Linked DNA regions of Callithrix jacchus. The protein of the gene in region 1 purifies or fractionates together with the protein of each later gene. This does not show direct contact. Links are inferred from orthologs where the notes say so. Each region holds a gene or a part of one and is shown on either strand. Other genes may lie near its edges.

Region 1 (4,532 bases):
TTCTACTAAAAATACAAAAAAAAAAAAAAAAAAAAAAAAAATTAGCTGGTTGTGGTAGCAGGTGCCTGTAATCCCAGCTGCTCAGGAGGCTGAGGCAGGAGAATTACTTGAACCTGAGAGGTGGAGTTTGCAATGAGCCGAGATCTCGCCATTGCCCTCTAGCCTGGGTGACAGAGCAAGACTTCGTCTTAAAAAAAAAAAGGATGAGGTGGCTGTTGGGACCAGGATGGGGGCCAAGATGGTGGAAGGCTGATCAAAGGGGTCCTTGGTGAGGCCTGAGGATGGAGGCTCCAGAGCCTGAGGTAGAGAAGCCTGGGGACCTGGGTGATCCCGTTTTGTGAGAGAGCCCAGTCCCTCCCCAGAGCCAGCTACAAAATGGACCTGGCCATGGAAACTAGAGATGAGTGATGTACTGGACTTTGCAGCTAGCAAGGCTGTGGGGTCTTTGCTGTTCCTGCCCCCCACTACCTTCTTCCCCCCACTACCTTCTTTCTGGCTGAAACCAGGATAGAGACCCAACATTGACTGTCCAGCTCCTAGCTCTGCTTCCCCTTTCAGGCCCCTCTGGGAACCACAGAAATCTGGGACCCGATGTCCTGGCAACATAATGAATACACGAACAGCTCTGGTATCTGTTTTAAATTATCCATTAAAATAAGTACAGCTCTGGGGGAAAAAATAGTTGACTGGGTGGGGTAAGCAGTAGGAAGGGACTGAAGGAGGAAGGAACCAGGCAGTCTCCTTTTCCAACTGCTTGGGTCCAAAGGAAAGGACAGGAGATGGGAGGGGGCAGTGCCTGACTCCTATTCTTGGCCTTCTTTAGGGGACTGCGGCTTGTTGCTTGGGTCTAAAAACGAATGCTTGGTTTTGAAGGGAGATAGATTGGGGCAAAAGATAGGAAAAAAGGGACCCCAAGTTCCTGGATCCCTGCCCCCAAATTGGGGACTTAAAGGAACTTAGGTTCCAGAACTTTGCTCCCCCCAGGGTCCCCAGGCATTCCTTCTCCACCCCACTCCTGGCACACTGAGATGCAGCTCTGAATGGGCTGCCCACGTGTGGAGGGGGAAAGGGGTGACTCACTATTACTACTGGGAGGACAGGGGGAGCCAGTGGTGGAAGAAGGGTGAGTCACACTGGTGGGCACCAGCCTCAACCCTCCCCCCACTTTCCTGGCTCCCAGCCCTGCCTGACCCTCTCCCTTGCTTTGCACCCAGTTCCCCCTCTCTCTTCCACCCTTTGCCCACCCACTATCCCTCCTTGGCTCTGCCCTCTAGCCAGAAGGTCTGAGGCAGTGGGGGCAAGCTTGGAGCCCGAGGTGCTGAGCCGGCAGAAGCCGAGAGAGGGGAAGCGTAAGGCTCACGCAGTTGGGAGTGCGCTGGAGAGGGTGGGGCCCGACTTTGCCACAGCCCTGCGGTCCTTGCCCCTCCTCTGCACACCCGCGCCCCCACCCCCGTGGATCTGGGACTTCCCCTTTAAGAGCAGGCCCCTCCTCCCTTCAAAGGAGGACCTATTAGAGCCTTTGCCCCGGCGCCGGTGACTCAGTGTTCGCGGGAGCGCCGCACCTACCCCAGCCAACCCAGATCCCGAGGTCCGACAGTGCCCGGCCCGATCCCCACGCCTGCCAGGAGCAAGCCGAGAGCCAGCCGGCCGGCGTACTCCGACCCCGAGCAGTCTCTGTCCTTCCGCCCGAGCCCCGCGCCCTTCCCGGGACCCCTGCCCAGCGGGCAGCGCTGCCACCCTGCCGGCCATGGAGACCCCGTCCCAGCGGCGCGCCACCCGCAGCGGGGCGCAGGCCAGCTCCACTCCGCTATCGCCCACCCGCATCACCAGGCTGCAGGAGAAGGAGGACCTGCAGGAGCTCAATGATCGCTTGGCGGTCTACATCGACCGTGTGCGCTCGCTGGAGACGGAGAACGCAGGGCTGCGCCTTCGCATCACCGAGTCTGAAGAGGTGGTCAGCCGCGAGGTGTCCGGCATCAAGGCCGCCTACGAGGCCGAGCTCGGAGATGCCCGCAAGACCCTCGACTCAGTGGCCAAGGAGCGCGCCCGGCTGCAGCTGGAGCTGAGCAAAGTGCGTGAGGAGTTTAAGGAGCTGAAAGCGCGGTGAGTTCGCCCAGGTGGCTGCGTGCCCGGCGGGGAGTGGAAAGGGCGGCGGGCCGGCGCCCCTGGCCGGCTGCAGGAAGGGAGTGAGAGGGCCTGGAGACGGATAACTTTGCCAGAGAGTCTCCTCCCTCCCCGGAACTGCCCCCAACGGGTGATGGCCAGTGTCTAGGGGAATTGTCAAGACAGGACAGAGAGGGGAGAGGTCTCTGGGAGAGGTGGGAGGATATAAGGAATAGTGACACAGAGAGGGGAGAGGTCTCTGGGAGAGGGTGGGGGGATATAAGGAATTCACAGTGGGATTTGCCAGCTATTCGGAGCCTAAGGGAGGGGCTTGAGCAAAACAAAACTATCCCTGTCAGCTCCAAGAACTTTGGGCACCCAGGACACATTGGAGTGGCAGAAAGGGTCCTGTTAGAACTTCGTTGGTGGGCCTGGCACTGTGCCAGCTTTACCCAAGCTGCCTCTGAACACATGATGCCCACTAAGACATAACTCCCAAGCTGGCATCTGTCCAGCATGTTGGAGAGAGGTCAGGAAGGCAGGGCAGTCCCCCTTTTCCCCTCCACAGGCTTGGCGGTGGCCCCCCTCGGCATGACCTTGCCCTGGGTTCTAAGGGTTGGGAAGCTCTCCCTCACTCTGCCTGTCTGGGACCTTCCTTGGGCTCTGACAGGCCCACCAAAACAGCTCAGGGAGAAGGGAGATTGGCTCCCCCGCAGCTCCCACAGCCCTTGGCCTGCTTGGCCCAGGAATGCAAAGGAGGGAGGGAGACAGAGGGCAGAGGCTCCCAGCTCAGGCAGAGGCTCCCAGCTCAGGAAGTTGTGTTATGCCCAGGTCTGGCCGCACTCCTCCCTTGGCCCTCTGCCCAGTGTCTTCGAGGGTTAGGGGCACTGTCCTTTCCTCCTTGGGGTGAGCCACTCTCATTTTCCCAGCCAGGCCAAGAAGTCTTTGCTGTGGCCCATTCTCTCAGCTGCTGACGTTTTGATCTTTGCCTTATTAAAGTGCTGGAATACAATGACATTTTTGAAATCCAGCCGTTGGAAGCTTCAGGCCACTCCCACTTCACCCACTCCTGCCCCACCCTACCCCACCCTACTCAACTCCACCTTCTTTTCTAAAAAAGCCTTTGGGAGCTTGGAAGTATAGGCCCTCCTCTTCCAGCCTCCCACAAAATTTGGTTCCCTTCTTCTTGCTCTTCTTTTGTCCATTCAGACCCAGGCCAAGAGCACCAAGGGTGCTTGGAGATCCGTAAAGCACTGCTGGCTCTGACTCTTCTTCTCTCCCTTTATATCATCTACTCCAAACTCCTGCTCTTCTCAGAAGCCCTCTGTGCATTCTGTGGTCGTTCTACCCTTTGCTAGTTGTGGTGGGTAGATCCATCGCTCTTCTTTCTGAAGAATCCATGGAAGTTGCGTGTAGGAAGACGGGCTCAACTTTTATTTTGTTTTTTGGATTTTTTTTTTTTGAGATGGAGTCTCGCTCTGTTACCCAGGCTGGAGTATAGTGGTGTGATCTTGGCTCACTACAACCTCCACCTCCTGAGTTCAAGCAGTGCTCCTGCCTCAGCCTCCTAAGTAGCTGGGATTAGAGGCACCTGCCACCACACCCAGCTAATCTTTGTATTTTTAGTAGAGATGGGGTTTCGCCATGTTGGCCAGGTGGGTTTCGAACACCTGACCTCAAGCAATCTGCCAACTTCAGCCTCCCAAAGTGCTAGGATTACAGGCATGAGCCACTGTGCCTGGCTTCTGTTTTTCTTTAGACAGGATCTCACTCTGTTACCCAGGCTGGAGTGCAGCGGCAAGGGCATGTCTCACTGCAGCCTCCACCTCCCTGGCTGAAGCCATCCTTCCACCTCAGCCTCCTGAGTAGCTGGGCAGGCACCACTACCCACAGCTAACTCTTTTGTATTCTCTTTTGTAGAGATGGGGTTTTGCCATGTTGCCCATGCTGGTCTTGAACTCCTGGGTTCAAGCAATCCTCCTGCCTCAGCCTCCCAAAGTGCTGGGATTACAGGGCTTGAGCCACTGTGCCCAGCCTCAAACTGTATTTCTGCTGAAAGAGACCACATCTGTCCTTTTATTTATTTATTTATTTTAAGACAGGGTTTTACCATGTTGTTCAGGCCGGTCTTGAACTCCCGACCTCAGGTGATGTGCCGGCCTTGGCCTCCAAAGTGCTTGTATTACAGGCATGAGCCACCATGCCCGGCCCTTTTCTTTATTTTTATTGTATTTTTCAGAGCCTTGTTGCTCAGGCTAGAGTGCAATGGTGCAGTTGTAACTTGCTGCAACCTAGAACTCCTCCTAGGCTCAAGCGATCCTCCTGGCTCAGCTTCCCCAGTAGCTGAGACTAAGGGCAGACACCACCATGCTCAGCTAATTTTTTTTTCTTCATTTTGTTTGTAAAGATGGAAACTTGCTATGTTGCTT
Region 2 (4,397 bases), on another chromosome or scaffold:
AACCCAGGAGGCAGAGCTTGCAGTGAGCCAAGAGCGCACCACTGCACTCCAGCAAGAAAGTGAAAAGACATGTTCTAGAATGAGAGAAAATATTTCCAAATTACGTATCTGATTACGGTTTAACATCCAGAATAAAGAATTTCTACAATTGAACAAAAAGACAACCCAATTTAAAAATGGGTAAACAATTTGAATAGACATTTCTCTAAAAGCATATATAAATGGCCAATATGCATATGAGAAGATGTTCAACATCATTAGTCCTTAGAGAAATACAAATCAAGGTTGGGCACGGTGGCTTATGCTTGTACTCCCAGCACTTTGGGAGGTCGAGGCTGGTGAATCACTTGAGGTCAGGAGTTTGAGACCAGTCTGGCCAACATGGTGAAACCCCGTCTCTACTAAAATACAAAAGTTAGCTGGGTGTGGCGGTGACCGGCACCTGTAATCCCAGCCACTTGGGAAACTGAGGCAAGAGAATCACTTGAACTCAGGAGGTAGAGTTACAATGACTCAACCTGAGAAAGCTGATTGAAAAACATAAATAAAAAAGTTTTAGGCCAGGCACAGTGGCTCACGCCTATAATCCCAACACTTCAGGAGCCCGAGTCAGACTGATTACCTGAGGTCGGGAATTTGAGACCAGCCTGACCAACATAGAGAAACCCCCCCACTACTAAAAATACAAAATTAGCCGGGTATGGTGGTGCACACCTGTAATCCCAGCTACTCAGGCGGCTGAGGCACTTGAACCTGGGAGGCGGAGGTTGAGGTGAGCTGAGATCACGCCATTGCACCCCAGCCTGGACAACAAGAGCAAAACTCCATCTTTAAAAAAAAAAGTTTTAAAAACCACAATGAGATACTAATCCACACCTACTAGGATGGAATAAAAATAATAAAAGCACACATTGGCTAGAATCTAGAACCTGGTAGATTGCCGGTAAGAATGGAAAATGGTACAGCCACTGTGGAAAACAGAATAGTGGTTTCTAAAAAAATTAAACGTAACTACTATATAATCCAGCAATTGTACTCTTATACTATTCCTCCCTTATTCACAGTTTTGCTTTGCAAAGTGTCAGTTACCCATAGACAATTGTGGTCTGAAAATATTAAATGGAAATTTCCAGATATAAACAATTCATAAGTTTTAAATTTCATATTATTCCAAGTAGCATAATGAAATCTCACACTAACCCGCTCTATTCCAACTGGGACATGAATCATCTCTTTGTACAGTGTATCCACACTATATACACTGCCAGCTCGTAGCAGATATTGCAGGGTTTGTGTTCAAGTAATCCTTATTTTACTTAACAAAGTGTAAGAGTGATGATGCTGGCATACTGTTATAACTGTTCTCTTATTATTGTTTTTAATCTCTTGTTGGGCCTAATTTATAAATTAAACCTTGTCATAGGTATGTATGTATAGGAAATAACATAGTATATAGGGTTTGGTACCATCTGCCATTGCAGCTATCTACAGGGGATCTTGAAATATATTCCCTCTGGATAAGAAAAGGACTACTGTATATGTATACCATGAATATCATTCAGCCATAAAAAGCAATGAAGGTCTAATACATGCTACAATATGATCAAACCTTGAAATTAACATGCTAAGTGAAATAAGCAAAACACAAAAGGACAAATCTTATTTCACTTACTTGATGTCCCTAGAGTCAAACTCAGAGACAGAAAGTAGCTTAGAGGTTACCAGGTGCTGAGAGGAAAGGAAAATAGGGAGGTATTTCTTAGTGGGTAAAGAATTTCTGGGCCGGGCGCGGTGGCTCAAGCCTGTAATCCCAGCACTTTGGGAGGCCGAGGCGGGTGGATCATGAGAGATAGAGACCATCCTGATCAACATGGTGAAACCCCGTCTCTACTAAAATTACAAAAAATTAGCTGGGCATGGTGGCGCGTGCCTGTAATCCCAGCTACTCAGGAGGCTAAGGCAGGAGAATTGCCTGAACCCAGGAGGCAGAGGTTGTGGTGAGCTGAGATCGTGCCATTGCACTCCAGCCTGGGTAACAAGAGCGAAACTCCGTCTCAAAAAAAAAAAAAAAAAAAATTTCTGTTAGAGGCAGTAAAATGTTTGGAAATAGATATTGGTGATGATGGTCACATAACAGTGTAATTGTAATTAATGCCACTGAATTGTACACTCAAATGAAAAATTTTGTTACATACATTTTACCACGAAGTTTTTTTTTTTTTTTGAGACAGAGTCTTGCTCTGTCACCTAGACTAGAGTGCAGTGGTGCGACCTCAGCTCACTGTACCCTCCGCCTCCTGGATTCAAGTGATTTTCTTGAGTGAGTTTCTTGTAATCTGAGTAGCTGGGATTACAGGTGCCCACCACCATGCCCAGCTAACTTTTTTATTTTTAGTAGAGACAGGGTTTTTCCATGTTGGCCAGGTTGGAATAATCTTTTTCTTTTTTTTTTTAAACTGGCATTGTAGCCTGGGCTCAAGCCTATATTGCCAGAATTTTGGGAGGCCAAAGTGGGCAGACTGCTTGAGCCCAGGAGTTCCAGAGCAGCCTGAGCAATATGGTGAAACCCCATCTCCACAAAAAATACAAAAATTATCTTGGCATGGTGGTACACACCTGCAGTCCCAGCTAGTTGGGAGGCTGAGGCAGGAGGATTACTTGAGCCCAGGAGGTTGAGGCTATAAGTGAGCTGTGTCTGTGCCACTGCACTCCCTTTGAGGCCTGATTATCCCTGTGAGACTAACATGGTAGAGGACAGATTTCTAAAGGCAGCACTGTGAACTGCTGTCCCCTATTTACCTGACACGTGGCTTTTCATGACTGAGCCTAGGCTGTCCTGGACGCTAGCCTCTCCTTCAAGCACAGCTGACAGTGAAGCTGGAAGGAGCACCATGCTGAGCTTCTTTAGTCACCATGGTGACAAGAAACTAACACAAATATTTGCTTATGACCTCACTGGGGAAGCAGACAAGGGAGGTTAGATTGGAAGGAGGAACATCTGCAAAAGCACATCTGGAATCTCAGGGAAACAGCAGGCCAGTGGCTTTTTCCATTATGTACTCCCTTACTTGCTGTCGATGAATTTTTTAAGATCTACAATACGAATAAATCTTTTCTAGCATCTGACTGTCCTAGACTGTCTTTGGGTTCTGTCTCTGTCTCTCTCTCTCTCTCTTTTTGAGAGTCTCACTGTGTTGCCCAGGCTGGAGTGCAGTGGCATGATCTCGGCTCACCACAACCTTCGCCTCCTGGGTTCAAGTGATTCTCCGCCTCAGCCTCCCAAGTAGCTGGGATTACAGACGCCTGACAATATGCCCAGCTAATTTTTGTATTTTTAGTAGAGTCAGGATTTCACCATGTTGGTCAGGCTGGTCTCGAACTCCCAACCTCAGGTGATCCACCCACCTCAGCCTCCCAAAATGTTGGGATTACAGGCATGAGCCACTGCATCCAGTTTTCTGTGGGTTTTCTTAGACAAGGAACTCTCTCAAAGTGAATAGGTCTCTGAAGTTACACCTTCCATTTCTAGGGAATAAATGTCTAATGTTGCCATGCACTTTCTAAGCTTTCAAAACCAAAAAAACTAGCAATGATAATACAAAATAGGTATGGGCCCTAAAATGCCTGAATCATCGTCTGCTCCAAATTCATACGATGAAGTCCTAAACCCTGATACCTCAAAATGTGACTGAATTTGGAAATAGAGTCCCTAAAGAGGTAATTAAGGTAAATAAAGTTACTGGGGTAGGCCCTAATCCATAACTGGTATCCTTAAAACAAGAGAGGGAGAACACCATGTGAACATGAAGACAGCTATCTAGAAGCCAATAAATAACAAAGGTCTAAGAAACCAACTCTTCTGTAAACTTTTTTTTTTTTTGAGACAGAGTCTTGCTCTGTCACCAGGCTGGAGTGCAGTGGTGTGACCTTGGCTCACTACAACCTCTGCCTCCTGGGTTCAAGCTAGTCTCCTGCCTCATCCTCCCAAGTAGCTGGGATTATAGGCGCCCGCCACCATGCCCAGCTAATTTTTGCATTTTTAGTAGAGATGGGGTTTCACCATGTTGGTCAGGATAGTCTCGATCTTCTGACATCATGATAGGCTTGCCCTGGCCTCCCAAAGTGCTGGGATTACAGCTATGAGCCACTGTGCCTGGTCCCTTCTGACAACTTGATCTCAGACTTCTAGCCACTACAACTGTGAGAAAATACTTTTCTGTTGTTTAAACCACCCAATCTGTGGTTCTTTGTTATAGTGGCCCTAGCAAACTAATATAGGCTGTAATTATCTAAAGAAGGCATTGACTCCTGCTAGTATCTAATACCAAATTCAAGTTAACTAAAGCCTTGTCTTTAGACCCGGGCAAAAGCAATAATCAAAGTAAACTGCTTTCAAG

The links.
Region 2: the proteins of LMNA (region 1) and KPNA6 purify together in Homo sapiens (affinity purification with mass spectrometry; 4 studies listed by BioGRID and IntAct, with this or other methods). This does not show direct contact. The link is inferred for Callithrix jacchus from reciprocal best matches to the Homo sapiens genes LMNA and KPNA6.

Annotation. Positions count from the first base shown.
Region 1 is NC_133519.1:16,506,483-16,511,014, forward strand, and holds the start of LMNA (lamin), read left to right. Parts: upstream 1-1,540; 5' UTR 1,541-1,747; coding exon 1,748-2,103; intron 2,104-4,532.
Region 2 is NC_133508.1:68,747,142-68,751,538, reverse strand, and holds the start of KPNA6 (importin subunit alpha-7), read right to left. Parts: upstream 2,897-4,397; 5' UTR 2,894-2,896; coding exon 2,800-2,893; intron 1-2,799. UniProt on the Homo sapiens protein: Functions in nuclear protein import as an adapter protein for nuclear receptor KPNB1. Binds specifically and directly to substrates containing either a simple or bipartite NLS motif.